Linked DNA regions of Oryza sativa Japonica Group. The protein of the gene in region 1 binds, or shares a complex with, the protein of each later gene. Links are inferred from orthologs where the notes say so. Each region holds a gene or a part of one and is shown on either strand. Other genes may lie near its edges. The genes, in order: NAD(P)H-quinone oxidoreductase subunit S, chloroplastic; photosynthetic NDH subunit of subcomplex B 5, chloroplastic.

Region 1 (3,025 bases):
AATCCATCGCTCTGTTTTCTGTGCGAGAGGTGAGGGAACACAGCCTTAGTAGTACCTTTCACTGTAAGAGCAAGTATAATAAAAGGCCGTTAGAAGGTTGAATGCTAACGTGGATGAGAGAGGAGAGAGAGAGGGAAAGCGAGTGGTATGCTTAAAACTAGCTTAGGCATAGGAACCAAGAAAATATGTGAGAGAAACATGGGAACCATATAGTTTATAGTTAAGAGCTAACTACTACATGAGTTGGCTGAGAGGTAGACTGTGAAGATCTTATACCACATTTGACGTGATTTGGGCTCGTCGTCTACTCCCTCCGTCCCAAAATAACTCAATATAGGATAGGATGTTACATATTCTAAGACAACGAATCTAGATTGAGTTATTTTGTGATTCTCTCCATCCCAAAGAAACCAACCTAAGAGGGGATTTGACCCCTCCCAGTACAACGAATCTGGACACTACATCTCCTCTTAGGTTGGGTTTTTTTTTACGGAGGAAGTATTTCTTACGGATAGTAACTTTAGGGGCCTATTTATGAAAAAAAATAAAAAGGGGCTTAAATGTAAAATTTTCAGTCGAAAAACACGAGGTCCTCATCCGAAATTCCTAATTGGCGACTGGTCGCGTGCCCCCTCACCCCGCGCGGATGGACGCGTGGCGCGCGTAGGAGGGGGAGGGGGCGCGGCGGCCGCGCACAGTGGGAGGCCCGCGTTCTTTTTTTTTCGCCGGTTTTTATGGTTGTTTTCTTCGGTTCTTTGTTTTTTTAAAAAAAAAACATCACATATATAAAGTTTGTATATACAGTATACAAAGTTTATATACATACGTATATAAAGTTTATATATATGCGTATAGTGTATATATAAAATTTATATACGTGATGGTTTTCCTCTATTTTTTTTTATTTTTTAAAATGAACATATATAAAGTTTGTATATATATCATAAACTTTGTTATACGTTATATATAAACTTTTGTATATGCGTATATATTTACATATAAAATATATTTTTTAAATAGTACTAGTAGTATATAATAACAGTAGTAGTGGTGTAGTGGTCCTAGTTACCAGTACTAGTAGTACTAGTACTAGTTCTAGTTAGCTGTGTTTATTCTAGAGTAAAGTTTAGATTTTGGTTGAAATTGAAGATGATGTGACTGAAAAGTTATGTGTGTATGATAGATTGATGTGATAGAAAAGGACTGAAGTTTAGATCCAAACTTTGGATCTAAACACAGCCTTAGTAGTAGTAGTTAGTAGTACTCCAGTTACTACTACTTCCTCCGTTTTACAATGTAAGTCATTCTAGTATTTTTCATATTCATATTGATGTTAACGTGTAATAAATGCTAGAATAATTTATATTATGAAACGGAGGGAGTAGTAGTTTAAAGTAGTACAGTGGTAGTAGTACTAGTAGTACTTTAAGTATATACTGTACTCCGTATAGCAGTACCAGTCGCCCATTAGCCACCCCCGGTCCTCATCCACCTAGGCTTTAAAGGCTTCGTCACTTCCACACATCCTCTGCTCCGCTCTGCTCCACCAATGGCGCCCACCACCCCCGCCTCCTTCCTCCGCCCGCCGCCGCTGCCCCACCACCACCACCCCCGCATCGTCCGCCTGCCCCCTCCCTCGGCGACCTTCCGCGTCGCTGACCTCCTCGGCGGCCGGGGTCTCTGCAACGGCGAGGTCGGCATCCGCAAGGAGCTCGCCTCCGACTCCCCCGCCGCGCCGCCATCCACCACCACTTCTTCCGACGAGCCCGCGGAGTCGCCACCGCCGCCGCCGGCTGCGTCCGGGGTGGACCCGGACGCGTTCGACAAGGAGATGATGGGCCTCACCGGCGGATTCCCCGGCGGCGAGGTCGGCCTCAAGGACTTCGTCGCCAAGAACCCGCCTCCCCCCAAGCCGGCGCACAGGAAAGGTCTCGCCGCCGCCGCCACGGTGGAGCGGCCGAGGGCGCCGGAGCTGCCGCTGTTCCTCCCCGGGATGGTGGTGCTCGTCAAGAACCCCAACAACGCCTACCACATGTACTGCGGCATCGTGCAGCGCGTCACCGACGGCAAGGTCGGGGTGCTGTTCGAGGGGGGGATCTGGGACAGGCTCATCACCTTCGATCTCGACGAGCTCGAGGGGAGGGAGAAGGGCCCGCCCATGGTGAACCCTAAGTCCGTGCTGCTCGAGTCCCTCGCCGCGGAGATGGAGGACGATGTGGCCAAGGAGGAGGAGGGAGAGGAGGCCAAGAAGAAGAAGGAGGAGGAAGGCACCGCCGCCGCGGCTTGACCACCATTGCTGCTTCTGCTTCTTCTTGTATGTATACAGCTATCTATATTTTCTTAGATGATGGAAGTGAAAGGGGTATATATATATATATTATCTATTCGATGAGTAATTTCGAAGTGAGTAAATGTGTTGTTGTTAATTGCTATATGTACAGTTGGAATCTTAGTGTGAATTGGCACTATGAAACAAACGATTCGGAGATAAAAGTTTAGCTTCTTTGTTGAATTGCTATATGTTTGATCAATTTGATCACGTTTGGTCCGGATTGCTAGTGAAATGCCTACAAGGGCACCAGTTGCCATAGTTCATTATGTTGGTAGGATTAATTTTTTTTTTTACAAACTTGAATTATCATCTCTTGCTTCTTGAAGCGAAGAGGCTATGACAGTCAGGTAACCAGGCTTTCATGATTGTAAATTGTACAGAGTATGAATGTTCAAGTGTTCGTTATTCCTGACATGACTTCAAAATCCCGCAGTATTTCGCACAGCAACTATCTATGCATTGTAGTTTACGTTTGCCTGATAGCTGGTTTCCCATGATTTTTGTTTATTTGAAAGAGTATATGAAAAGATAGGGCCTTTACTTCTATATAACCTGCCTTACTCAGGAATAAGTGTAGCAGCAGATTTAAAAGGATGGTAAAGGAAGACAGTGAAGTAACAATAATGATATAGTGTTTTGCAAACAGAGTACAATTTGTATTGATTACCACCATCTATATCTATATCTATACTA
Region 2 (3,925 bases), on another chromosome or scaffold:
GATCCATACACACATCATTTCATCTCAAAGTTCTTTATTTTGAAGAGACTCATCTTGCAGCTTTGCCACCCTGCTTTTCTTTGGAGTGGTTCTGATTTTCTGAACTGTTTCTGCAGCTGCATCTAACAAATGTGACCCCCCATTTCTGAATACCATATCTAAGACGATTTCACAATCTCATCTCTTCTGTCGACGGTGAAGTCCCAGAGCTCGCCGTACTTCTCGTTGAAGTCCCAGATGTCCATGGTGTTGTAGTCGGCGATGAGCTTGTCGCGAGCCGATCTCTCCATCATGTAGATCTCCGGCTCAAAGTTGTGTGGCTTGTCCGGTTTGTCCATCTCGATAACGCAGAACACGACGACGAACACTGCTGCGCCGATGTAGAGGTACTCCCCCTAGTGGCAGAAGTAGACACATATTCAGAGAGCTCAAGAGCCAAGACAGATTGTGAAATGTGATACATGTCAGTAGGCTGGAACTACTGCTCAATATGTTACCGGAACATTGAAGGCCATGCCAAGGATGATTGCAGGAGGAAACAACCAGGAGATCAGTGCTGCAAGAGATGGCCCATCAGTGCAAATTGAGCAAGCTTGTCTTAAGAGAAGAAAGATCTGATTTTTTTTCTCTGATTTATCTGAAAGAATCTGATTTTTCTCTGATTTATCCAAGTGAGAAAGGAATTTGGCTGTTACTACCTTGGAAGCCCTGAGGAGGTTCAGCTTCTTGGTACCACTCAGAGACATCCTCCCAAAAGCCCTTCTTATCTTCAGTGTCAAATGATTTTTTTTTCCACATCATATCACATAAGAATCAGAAATTAGCACACATGAGCATGATTACGCATTTTGATTCAAGGAATGGATAACTGGATAAGATAGCCCAGAAAAAGAACCTTGGGTTTCATTATATGTGTGGTGACCATCATACACTCCATACTCGAAGTCGTCCTGCAAAGCAGATTCTTTTCAGTGTCAAAACCATTTCTTCAGACAACACAGCACAGCAGCAGCAATCACTGAAGAAAGAATCAAAGAAACCATGGAAACTGCTTGGAATAGAGAAAAATAATGAAATTCTCAACACGGTGGCCGGCGACGGCGAGGAGGACAGACCGGGCTGACGCCGTTGGTGCGCCACTTATCAATGGGGTCCTCGTTCAGGTCGGGCTCGATCTCCGTCAGTGGCCCGGGCCCCGCCCTCGCCACCACCGCCCGGCCTCTGCTCCGGCAGCAGCAGCAGCCGCCATGCTCCGTCTTTAGCTGCCTCGCTGCTACTGCTGCTGCTGCTGCTGCTCCTGTTGCTGTTGCTGCATCGTCATGACGAAGGCGAGCTTTTGCAGTGGCAGACGGTGACGCAGAAATGGCGGACACCAAGCTGCTGCTGCTGCTCATCATCTCGCTCCAAACGCTGAGCTCTGCTGCTCGCTTCTTGCTTAGCTGGTAGCTGCTGCTGCACTTATACTTTGCTGCAAGGAGACAAAAACAAGAGGATAATGGGTATGGGGCATGTACCGTCCAGGATTTTTCGCTGCTTTTTTCCTCTTTTCTTTCTTTTTCTTCATGCCTGGAAAGAAATCTGCATCACCTCATTAGTCAGTCAGTAATCAGGTCAGATATGCATGATAATCTTGTGAATGAATAGAACTAGTATTTGTTAGTACTACATTATTGCATTCTGATGAATCTGAATTGTTAGCAACAGCAAGCACAGAGCCTTGTGTTTTACACATCAGGAGAGACAAGGAAAAGACAACTGCAACATGAGGACATGATTTGTAAATGAAAAGAGCAGAAAAAGAACCAGCAACCCAGTGTCACTGTGTCGGACGTCACTGATTCAGTGGCTGAGATACAGTGCACCATCAGCAGCGCTTTTTCACTGCTTCAGTATGCTTTTTATGCGTCATACTTGGCTCTTGTGCCTTGAGTTAGCAGGCTGCTGCATTTCTTGTAGGAGTATTCATTAACTGAACAAACAAGGCAGCAGTTCATGAACCTCTTTCCACATTTTTTTTTACTGAAATCTTTCCACATTTTGTTCCAAGAAGAAACTAAATTTCTTACAACATGCATTAAACATTGCATAATACAGCAGGTCCTACAACAGAACAACAATAGCATATCTGCTCAACTTCCATCGGAGAATTATTCCGCAGCCGTCCAGGACCTATTGCCCCCCTAAACTGCAAAGAAATCAGTGTCAGGACTTCTTGGAGTATTCCAGAAACAATATAATGTCCCATCCAAAAAACCAGAAACAATCTAATGATGGAAGCCTAGAGTCCACCAAAGGATTACCTGGTTCAAATAGAATTGGATAACTAGCTTTGTCTGGCCTTCATAACCAGCTCTTCTGTAGTAGCGCCAATGATCTCATTGGCACGCTTCAGAGATAGACAGCATATTCTTCCAATAGAATCCTGCAAGCATCACTGGCTTTATTATCCATGATTAAAATAGAGAAAATGCGAGTAACAACATAATGGTATTTCATTTAAAAATTCTTTTAGATTCTATACATTCTGAAATTTATCTAAGTTTTTTTTGGGGATATATATCTCACTATGATTTGGTACTGCTGTAACAAGCTGTAAGAACTCACTCTTGTAATGATGCCAAGCCTCTCTAACTTCTGAACAGCATCCATCACCTCAAAATTGCATTGCAAGCCAAACTCTTCTTGGATTAACTCTTCACATTGTAAGTCAAGATCCTAGCATTGAGTGCCAAGAATATTCAACTCAATTTTTATACTTGCACAACTTCAGAAACAAAACATGCTTGTTTCAAATACCAAAGCAATACCTCAATAGTCGCCTTTCCATTTTCCATCAAAATATAGTAGGAAATTATAATCTCCTTGACCTGGACATCAGAATTCAGAAACCACAAAGATGAAAATAATTGTGAGCACAAGTCTCTGATATGCTTATTCTGAATCAAGTACTACAATATGGAGACCTACTTCCTGCTGAATCACATCATCACAGAGATGGAGAAGTGTGCCTTTCCCACTATCTAGCTGTTTGTCATACATTGATTGAGTTATTAGGTTTTGATATGTTGCCATGTTCTGTTGAAACCTGAATCAAAGGTAGCTTATTTACCAAATTTGTCCAATACAACCAATACAGCAAATAAAGTATCATCATAAATAAGAAAATGCTGAAGGAATCAGGGAAGCAAAACTGCATTTTATGGAGGTATTCTAAAGTAATTCTGGCTGGATGAGTAAACAAAAATCCTCCCTGTCCCTGCTCTATTATATACACAATGCAGATTACCGACAAGATGACAAGACGAATACCCAATCAAAACAAATATATCAACCAAGGCACTCACGATAAATAGATCTTGGCACAATATCCAGCCAGGGCAGAAAGGACGGCAACTACAACCCAGAAATCAGCTTTAGGCATTTCGAGCGAACTGACAAGTGTAACCTGAGCAATGTGAAAAAAATAATCATCAGGTGATGAATCACAACCCAATCAAGTGCAACCAGTTCCAGTCCACTTACAAGTCCAATGACAACAGAAACAATAAACTGAACCCAGTCCATTGGTGTGAGGCTTGGATTTTTCTTCTCAGGCTGCAACAGTCATAATTTCTCTTCAGCATAAGTCCAATTGAAGAAAGCAATATGGATGTCACCACATTATTCTTTGGCATATTAAGCTTCTACACTTACCAAAACCAGCTCCATATCTGCCATTGGAATATTTTTGAAGTGCTTTACATGAATTGATCTATCATTCTGGCCCTTAGGGCTTTTCCTCCTGAAAGAACAGTCAGAAATCAGTTATAACACAGTAGTTCAAGACATCATGAAAGCAGCCAATTCACAACCAGGGCGCACCCGAAAAAGGTTTCCTGCATCCTCAGATGCAAATAATTTACGGGACTTACCTGTACAAGACAAT

The links.
Region 2: NAD(P)H-quinone oxidoreductase subunit S, chloroplastic (region 1) and photosynthetic NDH subunit of subcomplex B 5, chloroplastic share a complex: the UniProt entries of both Arabidopsis thaliana proteins name them as parts of the chloroplast NDH complex. The link is inferred for Oryza sativa Japonica Group from reciprocal best matches to the Arabidopsis thaliana genes NdhS and PnsB5.

What each region holds. Positions count from the first base shown.
Region 1 is NC_089041.1:5,276,807-5,279,831, reverse strand, and holds NAD(P)H-quinone oxidoreductase subunit S, chloroplastic, read left to right. Parts: upstream 1-1,458; 5' UTR 1,459-1,549; coding exon 1,550-2,287; 3' UTR 2,288-2,512; downstream 2,513-3,025. UniProt on the Arabidopsis thaliana protein: NDH shuttles electrons from NAD(P)H:plastoquinone, via FMN and iron-sulfur (Fe-S) centers, to quinones in the photosynthetic chain and possibly in a chloroplast respiratory chain.
Region 2 is NC_089035.1:41,426,686-41,430,610, reverse strand, and holds the start of photosynthetic NDH subunit of subcomplex B 5, chloroplastic, read right to left. Parts: upstream 2,176-3,925; 5' UTR 1,398-2,175; coding exon 1,116-1,397; intron 951-1,115; coding exon 896-950; intron 768-895; coding exon 699-767; intron 557-698; coding exon 498-556; intron 396-497; coding exon 159-395; 3' UTR 1-158. Other genes in the region: uncharacterized protein, read right to left, coding at 2,324-2,422, 2,605-2,715, 2,808-2,867, 2,968-3,085, 3,345-3,445, 3,523-3,594, 3,694-3,781, 3,912-3,925. UniProt on the Arabidopsis thaliana protein: NDH shuttles electrons from NAD(P)H:plastoquinone, via FMN and iron-sulfur (Fe-S) centers, to quinones in the photosynthetic chain and possibly in a chloroplast respiratory chain.